Linked DNA regions of Macaca fascicularis. The protein of the gene in region 1 purifies or fractionates together with the protein of each later gene. This does not show direct contact. Links are inferred from orthologs where the notes say so. Each region holds a gene or a part of one and is shown in the gene's direction. Other genes may lie near its edges.

Evidence for each region. The genes of interacting proteins can lie anywhere in the genome.
Region 2: the proteins of HDAC1 (region 1) and RREB1 purify together in Homo sapiens (co-immunoprecipitation; 6 studies listed by BioGRID and IntAct, counting the BioPlex papers as one, with this or other methods). This does not show direct contact. The link is inferred for Macaca fascicularis from reciprocal best matches to the Homo sapiens genes HDAC1 and RREB1.
Region 3: the proteins of HDAC1 (region 1) and ARID4A purify together in Homo sapiens (co-immunoprecipitation; 7 studies listed by BioGRID and IntAct, counting the BioPlex papers as one, with this or other methods). This does not show direct contact. The link is inferred for Macaca fascicularis from reciprocal best matches to the Homo sapiens genes HDAC1 and ARID4A.
Region 4: the proteins of HDAC1 (region 1) and ZBTB2 purify together in Homo sapiens (affinity purification with mass spectrometry; 5 studies listed by BioGRID and IntAct, counting the BioPlex papers as one, with this or other methods). This does not show direct contact. The link is inferred for Macaca fascicularis from reciprocal best matches to the Homo sapiens genes HDAC1 and ZBTB2.

The regions. Positions count from the first base shown.
Region 1 is NC_088375.1:202,705,672-202,709,231, reverse strand, and holds part of HDAC1 (histone deacetylase 1), read left to right. Parts: intron 1-1,431; coding exon 1,432-1,549; intron 1,550-3,560. UniProt on the Homo sapiens protein: Histone deacetylase that catalyzes the deacetylation of lysine residues on the N-terminal part of the core histones (H2A, H2B, H3 and H4).
Region 2 is NC_088378.1:165,898,759-165,902,818, reverse strand, and holds the start of RREB1 (ras-responsive element-binding protein 1), read left to right. Parts: upstream 1-1,233; 5' UTR 1,234-1,259; exon of another isoform or gene 1,260-1,555; intron 1,556-1,865; exon of another isoform or gene 1,866-2,211; intron 2,212-2,888; exon of another isoform or gene 2,889-2,980; intron 2,981-3,266; exon of another isoform or gene 3,267-3,419; intron 3,420-4,060.
Region 3 is NC_088381.1:126,146,173-126,150,329, forward strand, and holds the start of ARID4A (AT-rich interactive domain-containing protein 4A), read left to right. Parts: upstream 1-1,330; 5' UTR 1,331-1,505; intron 1,506-1,996; exon of another isoform or gene 1,997-2,493; intron 2,494-2,597; 5' UTR 2,598-2,654; coding exon 2,655-2,660; intron 2,661-4,157.
Region 4 is NC_088378.1:59,585,882-59,589,871, reverse strand, and holds the start of ZBTB2 (zinc finger and BTB domain-containing protein 2), read left to right. Parts: upstream 1-1,163; 5' UTR 1,164-1,341; intron 1,342-1,707; exon of another isoform or gene 1,708-1,878; intron 1,879-3,990. UniProt on the Homo sapiens protein: May be involved in transcriptional regulation.

The DNA.
Region 1 (3,560 bases):
AGGAAATTATCTTGTCAAGAAAGTGGCAAGGGGAGGATGTGATAAAAATTGTTGATGTGATGACTTATAAAGGATTTCCCATCTGTTTCAGTTGTCATTAGATACCCTTTTTTCATGAACTCTTGGAGCCATTTTGTCCATAATTTTATGATACATATATATACATATTTATTTTTAATTTTTGAGAGGGAGTTTCGCTCTTGTTGCCCAGGATAGAGTACAGTGGCGCAATCTCAGCTTGCTGCAACCTCCACCTCCTGGGTTCAAGCGATTTTCCTGTCTCAGCCTCCTGAGTAGTTGGGATTACAGGTGCATGTCACCACGCCCAGCTAATTTTTGTGTTTTTTGTAGAGACCAGGTTTCATTATATTGGTCAGGCTGGTCTTGAACTCCTAACCTCAGGTGATCTGCCCGCCTCAGCCTCCCAAAGTGCTGGGATTATAGGCATGAGCCACCACACCCAGCCAGTTTTATATAATATTTAATAATAAAAAGTAATAATTTTGTAGGCCGAGCACGGTGGCTCACGCCTGTAATCCAGCACTTTGGGAGGCTGAGGCCGGCGGATCACCTGAGGTCAGCAGTTCGAGACCAGCCTGACCAACATGGCAAAACCCTGTCTCTACCAAAACTACAAAAATTAGCTGGCTTGGTAGTGGGCACCTGTAATCCCAACTACTCGGGAGGCTGAGGCAGGAGAATCTCTTGAACCCGGGAGGCGAAGGTTGCAATGAGCCGAGATCGCGCCATTGCACTCCAGCCTGGGTGACAGATTGAGACTCTGCCTCAAAAAAAAAAAAACAAAAAAAGAAAACAGAAAAAAAAAGGCCTGGCGTGGAGGCTCATGCCCGTAATCCCAGAACTTTGGGAGGCCGAGGCGGGCAGATCGCGAGGTCAGGAGATCGAGACCATCCCGGCTAACACTGTGAAACTCCGTCTCTACTAAAAATACAAGGCGGAGCTTGCAGTCAGCCGAGATTGTCCCAGTGCACTCTAGCCTGGGCAACAGAGTGAGACTCCGTATAAAATAAATAAATAAATAAATAAATAAATAAATAATAATAATAATTTTGTGAAGCACCTTACAGTTTACAAAGAGATTTAACAACCTCTTCCGATTCTCTTAACTTCCCTGTGTGGTCCATGTTGTCCCTGTTTAATAAATGAGGAAATGGAGGTTCAAGAGATAGTAACTTGCCTAAGCAACAGAGCTTGAGTTACTCTAGGCCTTCTGATACTCTGTCTCCTTTGGTAATCTTGTTTGCCTAGTTATCTTGTAAATCTCTTGAGGCCTGAATCTAATCAGTTATTTCTTTTTATTCTTTATAGCACCTAGCTCCGTGCTGCGCAGGAAATAGAAATATTCAAACTAGATTGAGTGGACTGGCCGTGGTCAAAAATAACTTGCCCTTTCTCCCTTCTGCCCTCTAGCGCCCTCACAAAGCCAATGCTGAGGAGATGACCAAGTACCATAGTGACGACTACATTAAATTCTTGCGCTCCATCCGTCCAGATAACATGTCGGAGTACAGCAAGCAGATGCAGAGATGTAAGTCCATTCTTTTCCTCCACACTCCCAAGCCCCCAGTTGCATCTTACTTTCCACTGCAGAGGCCCGCTCTGCTGTCCTGGCACCTCCCATTCAGTGGACACCAGATTTCCCCTACCTCCTAAAGGTGCCAGAGTGCTTTTTCCCCTCAAGTCGGGTTTTTCATGTTTCCTGATTTGTGAACAATAGAGGTAGTACTTTTTCTGGTTATGTTCACAACACTGTCCCAAGAGTACTGTAATTATTGTAGTGGAAAAAGCACTGACCTGGGACGGAGAGACAGTAGATACAGTAAAATTTAACTCTAACTCTCAGCTGACTGGGCAAGTCACTTCTCAGATTTTTGTAAAGTGGACTGGGCCACGTGATCTCTGATTTCTGTCCAACTGTAACTGTTTTAACTTAGTGGGTATTGATTGAGAATTTAGAGGCCACTCAGGACAGATTCTAGAACAAAACTATCATACCTGACTTCCCCCTTGTGTTATTTTAGAAATTATCTCTTAGCACCTAAGACTTCATATAGTGTAACAGCATTGACCAGAAGAAGTTTTGATTAATTTATGACAGCTTAGATTGAAGTGTCAGAAAATATGCGGCACTTGTTTATTGCTGCTGACCACAAGGTAGTCTTATTCCCAAGGAAGAAAGGTATTTATAACTATTATTATAACTAATAATAACTGTACAGTGGTATTGATGACAGAACCACAGAGACCTTCCTTGAAGCATTAAGCTTCTTTGCTACTGACAACTCCAGGAGCTGCCAGCTGCTGTGAGTGAGGTGTTTGCTCTGAATTGCAGGGTCTTATTTCCCTCCAAGATGAGGCAAATTCATGCCTTTCCTGTAGATGGCTTTAGAGGTTTCCATAACCCATTTAGGCCAAGGATCAGGCTCTATTCTCAGCAGAGTGGGCTGTCACTAGAGAAGCAGCTTGCTATTAAAGTAAGAAAATAAGCTTTCATGTCTTAGTTTGAATCTTTGGTCTCCTGGCCCCTCTGGTGTTATTTCCCTGCCCCCTCCTTTTTTTTTTTTTTTTTTTTCCTGAGACAGAGTTTCACTCTTGTTGCCCAGGCTGGAGTGCAATGGGGCGATCTCTGCTCACCACAACCTCCGCCTCCCGGATTCAAGTGATTATCCTGCCTCAGCTTCCCGAGTAGCTGGGATTACAGGGATGTGCCACCACACCCGGCTAATTTTGTATTTTTAGGTTTCTCCATGTTAGTCAGGCTGGTCTCGAACTCCTAACCTCAGGTGATCCACCGGCTTTGGCTTCCCAAAGTGCTGGGATTATAGGCGTGAGCCACCGTGCCCGACCTGTTTTCCCTCTTTAAGAGGAAGACAGGACAGGCACAGCGGTTCATGCCTGTAATCCTAGCACTTTGGAAGCCCAAGGTGGGAGGATTGCTTGAGCCCAGCCAGGAGTTTGAGACCAGCCTGGGCAATATAGTGAGACCCCCATCTCTACAAAAAAATTAAAAAATTAGCTGGGCATGGTGGTGCACACCTGTGGTCCCAGCTACTCGGGAGGCTGAGGAGGGAGGATCTTTTGAGCCTGGAAGGTCGAGGCTGCAGTGAGCCGTGATTGTACTACTACACTCTAGCCTGGGCAACAGAGTGAGACCAAAAAAAAAAAAAAAAGACATTAGTGCCTATTTCCTAGTGAAGGATGAGGGGATAAGTGAAGATAATGTATTTATTTATTTATTTATTTATTTTATTTATTTTTTTTTTTGAGACGGAGTCTCGCTCTGTCGCCCAGGCTGGAGTGCGGTGGCCGGATCTCAGCTCACTGCAAGCTCCGCCTCTCGGGTTCACGCCATTCTCCTGCCTCAGCCTCCCGAGTAGCTGGGACTACAGGCGCCCGCCACCTCGCCCGGCTAGTTTTTTGTAGTTTTTTAGTAGAGACGGGGTTTCACTGTGTTCACCAGGATGGTCTCGATCTCCTGACCTCGTGATCCACCCGTCTCGGCCTCCCAAAGTGCTGGGATTACAGGCTTGAGCCACCGC
Region 2 (4,060 bases), on another chromosome or scaffold:
GGTGTTTATTTTCAACAACCACAATCATCCTTATCTGTCTGAAGATGTTTCCAAAGGCCGAGAACAGACCCCTTTCAGAACCTCGGTAGCAGAAGTATTAACAGTTGGAAACATGTCAGCTGCTTTATGGAGGAAGCACAGCCCAGGCCTGGTTTCTCTGGGCTCCGTGATAACTTGGGGCAAGGCAGCCAGTGCGAAGCGTAGTGGCAGGAGCTAGAGAGATGGAGAGCGGCTCCGAGAAGGGCCCCTGCTTTTCAGAGTTGAAACAAGAGCCCTCTGAGAGAAAGAGATACTGCGTGTGGCTTCTCTGAAGCCTTGGAGGGCGACGTGGATGACACAGCATCAGCCATTCCATCGCGGGGTGGGGACACAGTAGCGGCAGGAGCCGTCCTCAGCCCCTGGCGGTCACGCAGTTCCCCGCTGAAGCATCCTTTGTGGGGTGTGGGTAAGGGAAGGGGACCAAAGTCGAGTCGGAGTTGAGTTTGTTAGACGGCGAGCACGCTCAGGGCGGCAGCCCGAGTAAGAAGGATGGCCCCGGGAGAGAAACAGCTCGAAGCCAGGGGCGGGGTGAAGCGCCTGCTCCTTAATCTCCTGCCCCATCATCCACTCGCCCCACCTGGATGCAGAGCGAGGACCGCGTGGAAAGGAAACGGCTCGGGCGGGGCTCCACTTCCCAGATGCCTCGCAGACCCAGAGGGGCGGCGCCAGGCCAGGGACCCCGAGCCCCACGCCCCCCATCCCCCCAACCCCAGCGCCTCCGAGGCGCCCCTCTCGCAATTCCGGGGCATCACCGTGTCTCCCCCGCCTCTGTTAAAATAGTGAAACAAACTGCGGAGTGAAGTGATGGAAAGCCGGGGGCGGGGAGTCGCCCGCGGCGAGGGGCTGCAGGGGAGGGGGCGCGGTGGCCGAAGGTGGCCTGCGAGCAAAGGGACGATTGGGATCGCGCTCAGTCGCGGCCTCCCGGACCCTTACCCTCGGGCAGCCCGGCCCTCCCATGGCCCGGGGCGCCTTGGGAGGGCGTAGGGCAAACCTGGGGCTGCGGTGGGGGGTGGGGAGGGGACTCCACCTCCATCCTTCCCGGGATGGCAACTGCGGTCATCCTGCTAAAGTCGGGGCGGGGGCGGCGGTGGGGACAGGCGGGTACCGCGGTCCTCCCCCTCACCCCCCCAGTCCGAGCGCCGCCGCCGCCGCCGCGGCCGCTCAGTAACACGTCCCCAGGAGACTCGCAGGAGCAACACGTGATGTGTCTACTTATCAGGGTGAGAGGGGGAGAGCGAGACTCCGAGCGTGCGGGCGAGGAAGCTGGGCGGGGGGCCGAGACGGGGGCCGGGACGACGGCTGGGGCGCTGGGGTCGCCAGCTCCTCGCCCACCTCCCTCCCTGTGGGAGAAGAGGAGGAGGGGAAGTGACTGCGGAGTTGATGAACTTTGCACATCCAGAAACGCCATTTTGATTCCTTTTCCGGAACAAGTTTGCATCTCTCCTCGGTCTCTCCCTGAAGCCCACCGGTCCCCAACGCATCATGCCTGGGAGCCAAGCGTCCTGCCCGGCCGTAAGTACGTGCCCCGGGTTCCGACTCGCGGTACTCCGGCGGCAGCGAGACATGTGGGGCACAGCCGGAGCGACCTTTTAAAGAACTTTGGGGATGGGGAGGGTGAAGTCTGCAGAGCGCGTTGTACTTTAGAAACTCGGCGTGTCCCGCAGGCGGGGACCCGCACGCCCCACGCCGCGCAGCGTGCGCTCGGGCTGGCGGGGCGGCCAGGGATGAGCCGGGCAGCCCTCTCCCCTCGGGCTGCGCGCCGGGCCGTTCCTCCTCCTCCTCCTCCTCCTCCTCCTCCTCCTCCTCCTCCCCTTCCTCCGCTCTTTTCCCTTTCCCGAGCCGCTGGCTCTGCCAACCAGCTCCCAGCGCGAGCCGCCGCAGCGCCCCGCCAGCAGGACCTGATGCGCATCCATATTAGCCGTCCGAGCGCAGGAATCCGGCCCGACCCGCGCCGCCGAGTTTATTTTTAACCAGCACCGCCGGGACTCGGATGGTGCGCGCACCGCCGGCCAGAAACATCTTCCCAGCGCTGCTCTCCATCTTCCGCCCTCTCTCCCTCGACATCCTCCCCCCCATGTGGGAGGGGAAACTTTTCTCCTACATACTTTCGAGTCCCTCTCGGGCCGGGAAGCGCGGAGATGACGGCGCCCGCCCTCCCGCCGCCGCCGTAAGGTATCCGGGGGTGCCGGCTTGGGGGTGTCTGCTCGGGGTGCTCGAGCGGGGGTGCCTGCTCGGGGCTGCTTGGTGGGAGCATCCGCCGCGCCCTGCTCTGCGGACTTTGATCCTCCCGGGCGGACGGCGCCGGCCGGGAGGGGGCCGCGGGCAGCCCCGCGCCCTCGCCGGTTCCCGGCTGGAGGTCGTGGTCACGCCGACCACTGCCCCGGGGGACCAGGGGAGGAGGGGACCGGGCCCGAGCCGTGCGGGCACGTATTGTTCCCTCGCCCTTCCGTTGGCGGGGTGCGTTTTTTCGTGGGAGCCCTCGGTGTGGAGCTAGCCTGCCTCGCGGGCGGGGGAGGGGGTGGGGGGCTCGGCGCCGTCACGAGCACAGGAAGGAGGCCGGGAGCATCCGAGGCGGGGCCGGCCGCCGGGGCCCGCTCCACCGCCCAGCTGTGGAGCGCGCTCGGAAACTTTTGTCCGCCGCCCGCTGGACCAGTTTTTTGCGAGTTCTGGGGCTTCCCTTCCACCTCCCATCCCGGCCCCCAGCGTCTAGCTGGGTGGGGGCAGGGGGCCCGTTGTTGCCCTCCCCTACTTCCCGCACAAGCCTAGGGCCGGGCCCCCCGCGCCCCCTCCCCGCTCGCGGTCTCTTAGGAAACTGCGACCTTAATGGTTGCTAAGGAGCAGGGGAGGTCCTTCCCGTCGCCGACCCCCTCCCTGGGAAGCGGCGTGTTTTCTGGACCGGGCCAAGGGCGCGTCGAGGATGTGACCTGCTCCGCGGCCGCGCGTGAGTGCGGGGCGCGTCGGCTGAGCCCACGGGTTGGCTAGGCCGCCTTCCTCTCCGGGCGGGGCGGGGAGCTGGGGGACGCGGGGACCCCACGGGGTGCGGGCCCGGGCCGCTTGACAGGCGCCGCGTGCAGCTCGCGCCCCTCGGCAGCCGTGCATCCGTGATGGGTTATAAAAGAGGAGGAAAGTATTTCTCCTTGCTCAGCAGATTTGCCCTCTCTCGCTCCTTACTGGTTAGGAGATAGAACGTGAGCCCAGATCCGGACGAGCAGTTCACATTCCATTACGAAATTCTACACGGCTTCAGAGCCAGCAGCAGCACACATTCGGGGCACTTTGGAGGGGTTTTCGTCTTTTGAGGATGCTCCTGCTGTTGCTGCTTGTGATGGTGGTGGATGTGGAGACAGACAGAAGGGTGAATAAAAAAGTATAACGTTTTGGTATGTTGAAAAACCTGTCCGGGGGTTTTCATTAGTAGAAAATTGAACCCTCTTAAGAGTTTAGATTTAAGCTTAGCTCTTTAAAAGCCAGTGGGAATAAAGTTTGCCTGTTGAATGGTGTTGCTGGAAATAGCGAGGAATTTCTGTCTCTGCAATGGCAGAGTTTCTAGTGCATCCCCATTATTTTTGAGATTTTTTTCCCCTTTGTATATGTAGTGGACCCTGCATATGTGCGAGTTGATTCTGAAATAAGTTTAATTGAAGTGGAGTGGGGAAAAGAGAACTGCCAAGAAAAGAATGTGGTTTAGTTTTGTTTTTTCACACCCATGAAAATCATCCTCTAGATTTGGTACTTTTTGAAGTAGGCAGGTATAGTTTCTAAGACATATTTCAACCCGGAAGTCTGAGTTAGAGGCCAAAGTGTTGGCTAAAACCTCTTTGAAAAACAAACGTTGAGTTCTGTACTATCTTCAAGAGTCCACAGAACTTTTGAAGGAATGGGTTCGAGCTACTCTACAAGTAATTTATACAAAGACGGATCACTAATTTTAGGGGTGGTGTGTGCGCGCGTGTGTGTATGTATGTGTTTACCTCTGCCCTTTGGAGGGAGCTTTCTGGGTACCCGCTGATGGGTCCTGCTT
Region 3 (4,157 bases), on another chromosome or scaffold:
TCCACGTGGATTACGGACGCTATGTCACATTTAAAAAATTACTCCATTCTATAAAACAACTAGCCAATTTATACTCCAATTCCACTATTTAAAAATATGTTTCGTTTAACAGAATACAAAATGTTAACAGAACAAGACCAACGTCTATCTTATCGGGGACGTCCTTTTAAGATGTTTTCAGTCCCTGCACAACCAATCTTTCCTTTCAAAAAGCAGCATAAGCCTCGCGCAGAGGGACACAGACGCTTGTCTAAGGTCACAGAAGCACCGTCTGTGCTGGCAAGTAAATTCCTCAGCATCCAAAAAGCCAGCGCTTTCTCCAGTTTCCTCATAGCTTTTTCGCGTGAGGAGCACGCGGAAACCTCTACCCATGCAGAATGTTTCCAAGAATCACTTCTGACCTGTCTTAACTAAGGAGACTCCCATAGTTTGTGCCAATCAGGTGGAGAATATGGCAAGTATCCAAAATGCACTTCCAAAGACAGGAAAGACTGCTCAGACAGAGGCAGAATTCAGAAAATCTCTCACATTCTCGAAAGCCCGAAAAAGCACCGCCAAGAAAGACTTTTGCCTCTCCTCCACCTCTTTCTCTCGGCGGGAGAGGAAGCCTCGCCCCCATTCATCCCGCCCCTTCTCCCCACCTCGCCGCAGGGAGAACTTTTACCATGGCTTCCTGCGGCCCCTTCACTTCCGGTGCCGGTGCCGCTAGGGCTGCGCCATCCCCCCCAGTCAATCGGACAACCATAGCCTCCAACTGACCTTTCTGACAGCTCTGAGACTCCTCCGGCCAAGACTAGGTGCTGTCCTGGAGGAAACGGTGGAGGACGGACGCACAAAAACCAATCTACCTGATGAAAACTCCGTTCCCTTCTTGCCAGAAACATAAAATGCGATGGAGCTACGGCGACCGCTGCCGAGACAAAATGGCGCCGAGAACCTGGTTTAGCGCAGGCGCCTTGGAAAGACCCTGCCCCGCCCCCGTGCAAGCCCCTGGCTGCAATTCTGGGTTCCGTTTCCATGGGACACTCCGCCGCCAATCCTCGTGCCGAACTGCTCTTCCTGACCCCTCAATTCACCAATCAGTGCCCAGTCAAGCACATCCGGAGTCGTCTCTACCAATCATTTCTCAAGACTTGCTTACTCAATAACCAACTCTCCAATAACGTTGGTCTTCGGAAAAAGCCAATCATAAGTGGAAGATGTCCTACCTGCTGTTTTTCGCACCAATCCATGAAGTTTCAGAGCTACATCCAATGAGGACGGCAGGTAGCGAGGTCCTATCCGAAGCTCTTCGGCGTCATGAACAGCCAATAGGAGTTCGTGTAGAAGCGAGTCTGCTCAACAGCTTGTTATTCGGTGGATTGTGGCAGTAAATCGGGGCGAGTGGGGAACCGGGCGCAGGAACTGCAGCCGCGGTTGGGAGTGGTGCTGCCCGGACGGGGGCCCACGGAGGTCAGAGGGGAGGAGGACTCTGGAGCTGACAGTGCGCACTTCACCCGCAGTTGGTAGGCGGGGAGAGGGGAATCGGGGGATACTGAATGGATGAAGCGGCAGTGGCAGCAGCTGCTGCTGCCCGGGGTCCCGGTGCAGTTGGAAGCTTCGGAGGTGGGGAGAGGGATGCTAGGCAAGTGGCGCGGCGAGCGCAAGAGAAGGGGCCAGCCATGGAGCAGCGGCAGCAACTGCAGGAACCGCCGCCGCAGCTGCAGCCGCCTCGTCCGCTTCCCCGGGTTCCCGGGAAAATGGCTGTGGGGCTGGCCGCGCCGCTAAGTTTGCTTCCGCGCCGTGAGGAGCGGGCTGCTTGGGGGAGCCGTTCCCCAACTCCGCGGCGCGTCCACCTCTGCGGAGTCCGTGGCAGGACTCGAGGGGCTGCGAGCTGATACGTCTCTGGGCTGTACAAAAAGTTGAGGCGGGCGCTGGGAGGAGGCAGCGGCTGCTGCGGTGCGGCTCCCCTCCCCTCCCACACCCTGTCCGGGCCACCTCCCCTCCTCCTCCCCTCAGTCCCCCGCCCCCTCCCCCGCGCGGGTCTCCCGGGGCTCTGGCGGCTCCCGGCTGAAGGCCGCGGCCCCTGCCCCTTTGGGTGAAGGAGCGCTTCTCCTTCCTGACATGGTGCAGAGCAAAGGAAGGAGAGCAATGGCGCCGTGACACTCCGCTGCCGCCACCGCGGGCCCGGGGCGGGCCGAGGGGGCCGAGCAGCGGAGGCGGGGCGCGGGCCGAAGTCGGGGTATCCAGGGGACAGCGGTGCGGAGGCCCGGCGGTCGCCTCCGCGGGGGACCTGGGGAAGCCCGAACGGCGCCCTGCCCTTTTCCGGAGCTATCTGTCCTGGGGCTCCGAGTTCAGCATTCCGGGTCAAAGTGGCCAGCGAGGCGGGGGCGCGGTGGGCCTCTGGCAAGCTCCGGGGCGGAACGGGCTGCCCTTTGGCGCGCGTGGGGTTCTTGTTGCCCCCTCCGCTCCTGCATCCTGGCTGCCCTCAGAAGGGGTCTTGTTCCTTGGCTGGTGAGGATTCTGCCCCTCCCCGCTGGCGTTTGTTTACTTTCTTTCCCTTGGTCGCTCCCCGCAGTTGACTGATTCTGTCTGTGCCTCTTTCCCCCTCCCCGTAGTTCTAGCGACTGCGACGATAGCTCGCTGAGCTGGAACCCCACAGATCACCAACAAAAATGAAGGTAAGTGGAGTCAACGCTGCCCCGATCCTCGCGCCTTGGACACTGCCAGTCGTAAGGCTAGTGCCGTGGAATGTCATTTGTTTTGCTCCTCAAAATTGATGTTCCTACTGATCAGCAGTTTCGGCATAGGAGGATGTGTTGAATGGGTGAGAAATGATCTGTGTGTCTAAATGCGGAGTTTGGGCCCTCTCTGTGGCAGTACTTTGGAAAGGCTGGTGCAGCCTTTCAATTGTTGTCCATTCGGATAGTATTTTTAAACACTTCCTGTGTTGGCAGCAACCTTTGCAGAAGTAAAGCTTTTGTCCTGCTTTGGTTCTTTGGGGGATTTTTCGAAAATTTTTTTCTTCCTCAGTGCCAATGCGATTTTGTAAAAGAAAGAGTACGTGGATTAAGTAATTAAGTAAAGAAGGTGTCATTTCTTCTGTGTGTAAAGTGAACTTATGTGGCTAAAATATTTGAAGTTGAACTATAATAATAGTTTCAGTTAAATCTTTCCAGTAAATATTTTAAAACATATACTTATTCTAAAAAGATACATATTCTACTGAGGATGACTGCAAATATCAATATGTGGATGGTTAAAGGGAAAGGATCTCATATAGCATTCTTGAATGCTGTGGCCATTGAATGTTTCAGGTCAGATTTTTATTTGCCAAAAGCATTCCTATTCAATTTGTATTTTTTGTAAACGTTCTTAAAAGGTAGCCAATTCCTGTCTTATTTACTGTTTCAGTATATTAAGCTCTGAAATATAGCATTTTCCCAAACTTTCTCATGGTTTTCTATTTTCTCCAAGTAAATGACATATTTAACATTCTTTAATATTACTTGGGAAAACTTATTAGAAAACAAAAAATCATTTTCTACTTAAAAACGTATCTCCAAAGTGTACACTGTTAACTTTGCACTTAACAATGTTAAGTTGAACTTGTATGGATACACTTTAACTTCTGAAAAAAAAAAAGGTAAAATGACAGATTGAGATAGCAATCATCCTGTTACTGTAAAGATTAAAATGAATGGTAGAGTGAAATTTCTTGCATCATTCTATGTATCATTCTGGTCATGTCCATTTGCTGAAAGTAGATGTTTCTTAGTAACGCTTGTTTTTTTATACTAAGAAGATCAGTGTGGTAAACTAGGTATGTCTACAGGTCTTGAACCATCGGTTCATATCTGCATTCATCAGCTGAATTCAGACTTAAAACCTTTCAAATGCAGCTTTTAGCAAATGAATTTTCCAAATTGATACTCTCCTTATGAAAAGATGTTACCTTTACGTACCTTTGTCAATAAACAATTATATATTGTTAGTGTTAATATTAGTAGCAATATTTATTTTAATTAATTTGCAAAATTTCAGGAAGCTATAAATGAATAACTTAGTTTTATGATATGTGTAATATGAAATATTTTTTCTGATTTTTTTATTTTTCTGCTTATATAAATAGAATTTTTGAAAAATTTTGTATCTGGAAAAAAAACATTATATTTACT
Region 4 (3,990 bases), on another chromosome or scaffold:
GTATTAAATTGTCTTAAGATGGTAAGCTTGCCTTAAATGATTTAAACTATGTGCCAGGCATTGGCTGGTGGTCAGACTGTGTAAACCAACATGGGTTAGACATCATAACCAGGTTAGCATGACTTGAAACCAGAGTATCCCAGAAACTGCTGCCTCCACTTCCTTAAGAATGCAGCCATATCCTTTCTAAATCTCAAAAAATCCTAGATGTGTAAAGATATCATTAAATTCCAATCCTCAAAGAACTAAACTGCATTTCCCCCAAAAAACACACGAATTCTAGAAAAATGGCAACCAAAACTTTAAAAAATTAAAAATGACCAGGAAATTCTAACTTATCTGCCATGTTTCAGGATCTCCCCGTTGAAAGATTTTCCAAACCTCTAAATCTAACAGAATAGCCAACACTGGAATCCATACCTCAAAGACCAAAACCTAACAGGAGAATAAATTGTTAACAAACATGCGTTGCAGACTTTCATTTTTGGGAGGCCAAAACTTCAAAAACGAAAATCCAGTTGCTGAAATAACTATCAAATTCAACCCTAACAGAAACATCTTACGTCGCTCAACTAATCTGCAAGGAAAAGGAAGCAACTCTACCTCTGTGCACAGTACAGGCATCTGTACTTCGGCATGACTTTCAGTTACCATTGGTGACAGGAAGATACTGGTTTACAGTATCTCCCCGATTTAAAACAAACACGGAAAGTCAAGGGACAAGGGTAACGGCCAAAAGATCTCAAGCAGAAGCCGGCAGAAGTATACGAGCAGCGGCTCTCCATCTCTACCCCGAGCATCTCAAGGACTTGTCCTACCTAAACACTTTATGTAAACAAGGGGGCTTGTGACTCAGGCCTCCAGCCCCAATAGGTGGAGAGAAGTTTCCTCGCCTCGGCTGCACATGGTCTGCAGAAGTTTGGCTGGAGCAGAGCGCGGAGCCTGGGTGGGAGCGGCAGTGGAGTGCTGCAGGCGGCGGCGGCGGCGGCAGAGCAGCAGGAGGCGGAGGCGGGCGGGGGGAGGGGAGCGGCTGGGGGGGGGCGGAGGGGGCTCTTGCCGCCACTGCTCTCTCGCCGCCTCTCCCCCCCGGCGGGAGCCGCTCGCAGCCTCTTTGCACAAGTCTCTCCGCTCTCTCGGTCATGTGACCTTAACGTAACCGGACAGGAAAAGCCCCGCCGCCGCCGCCGCCGCCGCGCCGGAGACACCGACCGCGGCGGCAGCAGCAGCAGCAGCAGCAGCAGCGAGAGGCAGAGGCGGCGGCGGCGGCGGGGAGGACAGCACGGCCGAGGCTGCCCAGCGGCGCCTCCTCCACACCCCCCGCCGCAGCAGCACCGGCGACAGGTAAGCGCGCACCGCCTCCGCCTCCCGGGGCCGGTGCCCACGTGCCACCCCCAGCCCAGGGTCCGGGAAGGCGGAGGGGGGGGCGGGGGCCACCGGAGCTCGCAAACGGTTCCGGCAGCGGCAGTGGCAACAAAGACGCCGAATGACCCTCGTCCCAGGGCTCCGGGTGCAGGCAGGCGGAGGGCCCGGGCCACTCGGGGACCCGGTTCTGGGAAGCGAGGGCAGGGGCGCCTCGCGGGGGCGGCGGCGGCTGCGCCTGGCGCCGGGGCTCTGGCCGCTTGACAAAACCATCCCCCGGAGCCAGGCGGCGGCGAGTCGGCAGCGGCTCCATCCGGGGTTTTGAGGGAGGGGGAGGGGACGGAAGCCGAGAGGGCGGGCGGCGGATCGGAGGGAGGGAGGGAGGAAGGGGAGGGGGGCGATTCGCGTTCCGTTCCCCGTGGCCGGTCCCTCCCTTCCCACCGCCACCGCGAAGTGCGCCCTGGGCGGCGGCGACCGGTGAGCGTCCCGCGCTGGAGCCCTCGGAGGCGGGCCCGTCAGGTGTGTAATCCTTCCGACGCCTCGCCGCCGCCTCCTGCTGCTGCCGCCGCTGCTGCTTCGGCGGCAAGGCCGCGAGCTGCGGAAGTGGGTTTGGGGGAGGGGAGGGAGGAGGGAGGGGGAAGGGAGGGATCCGGTCCGACCGGAGCAGGCCCGGCCTCTCTGGCGCTTCTCCCAGCTGCAGCGGCTCCTACAGCTGCTGCCGCTACTGCTGCGGCTCCGCCTCCCGCTCGCGGGCGGGGGCGCGCACGCGCGCTTCCGGCCTCCTCGGGTCTCGCGCTGTCTCCGGCTCTCGCGCGCGCTCATCCCCTCTCCCTGTCTGGGCCACCCCCGCCCCCGGCGCCGGGGCTGTTGCGCCGGCCGGGGCGTTGCGCACGGCGTAGGCGTCGGCATTGTGTTAAACTCCGCGGGACTTGCGGCGAGCGCGCGCGCGCACGCGGGACTGAGAGAAGCGGCGAGCGTGCAACGCGGCCGGAGTGCGTCGCCCCTCCCTCCCCCTCAGCCCCTCGGGGACGGGGACAGGGACGGGGCCGGGGGCGGGGCCGGCGAGACCGGAGGGGGCCAGAGGGCCCCGGCGCCGCGCCCCCGGCCCCGCCCCTGGCCAGGCCCCCGCCCCGCGGGGCGGGTGGGGCGAGGTGGCTGTTGCGGCGCGCTCAGGCGGGCTGGGGACGCGTCGGCTTTTGTGGCGCCGCCCCTGTCGCCCGCTCCCTGCGGCTGCAGGCCGGGCCCAGTCCCAGGTGCTGAGCGCGTTGAGCCGGCGGCTTCGAGCTTCCGCCCGACGTGCGATCTGCGCCAGCGATACAACCCGAGTTGGCCCCGAGCGCGCTGTGGTTTCGGCTGCTTAGCCTCGGGGCGTGGGACCCGCGCGGCCCGCACCCCCCGACCGGACTCCGAGGCGAGGAGGCTGCTTCCCGTGGCCGGCGTCGTTTTCTCGTTGTAGCGAAACCCCTAAATCGTTCTTGTTTAAACAAAGCCGCAAGAAAGAAGTGTTTAGCCAGAAGCTGCAAAGGAAGCTAGGTTTTGCCGCTTTTAGCTGGTAGTAAAAGAGGCAATAAAGAAGCGAGGGTAGCAGAGTAGGCGAGTGCCTGGGCCAGGAGAAGCTGCAGCTACGCCTTTTACTGCAGGAACTTCCACCCGAATACGTGAACTCCTAATTATGCCTTGGGGATATAACCCGGCTCTCGCTCCCCGCCTCCCCCAGCTGCATTGTTCATTAGCTCTTTCATCATACAATGGGCCCACTGAGTTTGTGAGCATCGATTCTATTCATTTTCTCACGGTATTATTTTAGTAAAATAAAGCGTAAAAGCATAAAGAAGGTCAGAATTATCAGAACTCCGGGGAGGGGGGAGGCTCTGGGATTACTTAAACGTGCTGCCGTGTCCTTGCTAATGTAAATCTATGCCGACCCCCGCTGGAGCGCCAGGGCTAGTTGTACACACCACTAGCGTTTTAGTGTGGGAGTACCCTGAAAGTTTAATACGGAATTGGGATTATGCCATTTTAATTCTCATTTGTCTAATTTATCACAAACCAAAATTATAAATTGGTAAGGTAAATTCCACTGCATTCTGAATGATCTTGGTGTGCATCCAGGATGTTTTCAAACTGTTAAAAGGTCATTTTTTTCTTTATTTCTTTCTTCTTTTTAATAAGAGACAGGGGTCTTGCCATGTTGCCCAAGGCGGTCTTGAACTCCTGGGCTCAAGCAATCCTCCCGCCTCGGCCTCCCAAAGTGCTGGGATTACAGGGGTGAACCACCGCTCCTGGACAAGAAGGCAATTTTTAAGAGCATAGTAATTTACCAATAATAGGACGTCCTTTTAAACTGGGCATTTCTCATTTAATAAACTTGTAGTTTATTTGCTAAACAAAGAATTGGCCAGTAATTGAAGCCATCATAAGTGCAAGAAGTGATACGCCAGTGCCACTGAGAGTCAACAGTCGAGTAGTCTACAGTGGAGTGTAGTCTACACCCCTAAAACTGTGTCATACAGTCCACCTGCATACTTGCCAGTTTTAAAGCTTCTCTTCAAAGGGGATGTAAATACGTTGATGCTCAGCGACCTAGCAGCAGAGAATAAACATAATCATGTTTTAAGTTATAAAATAAAA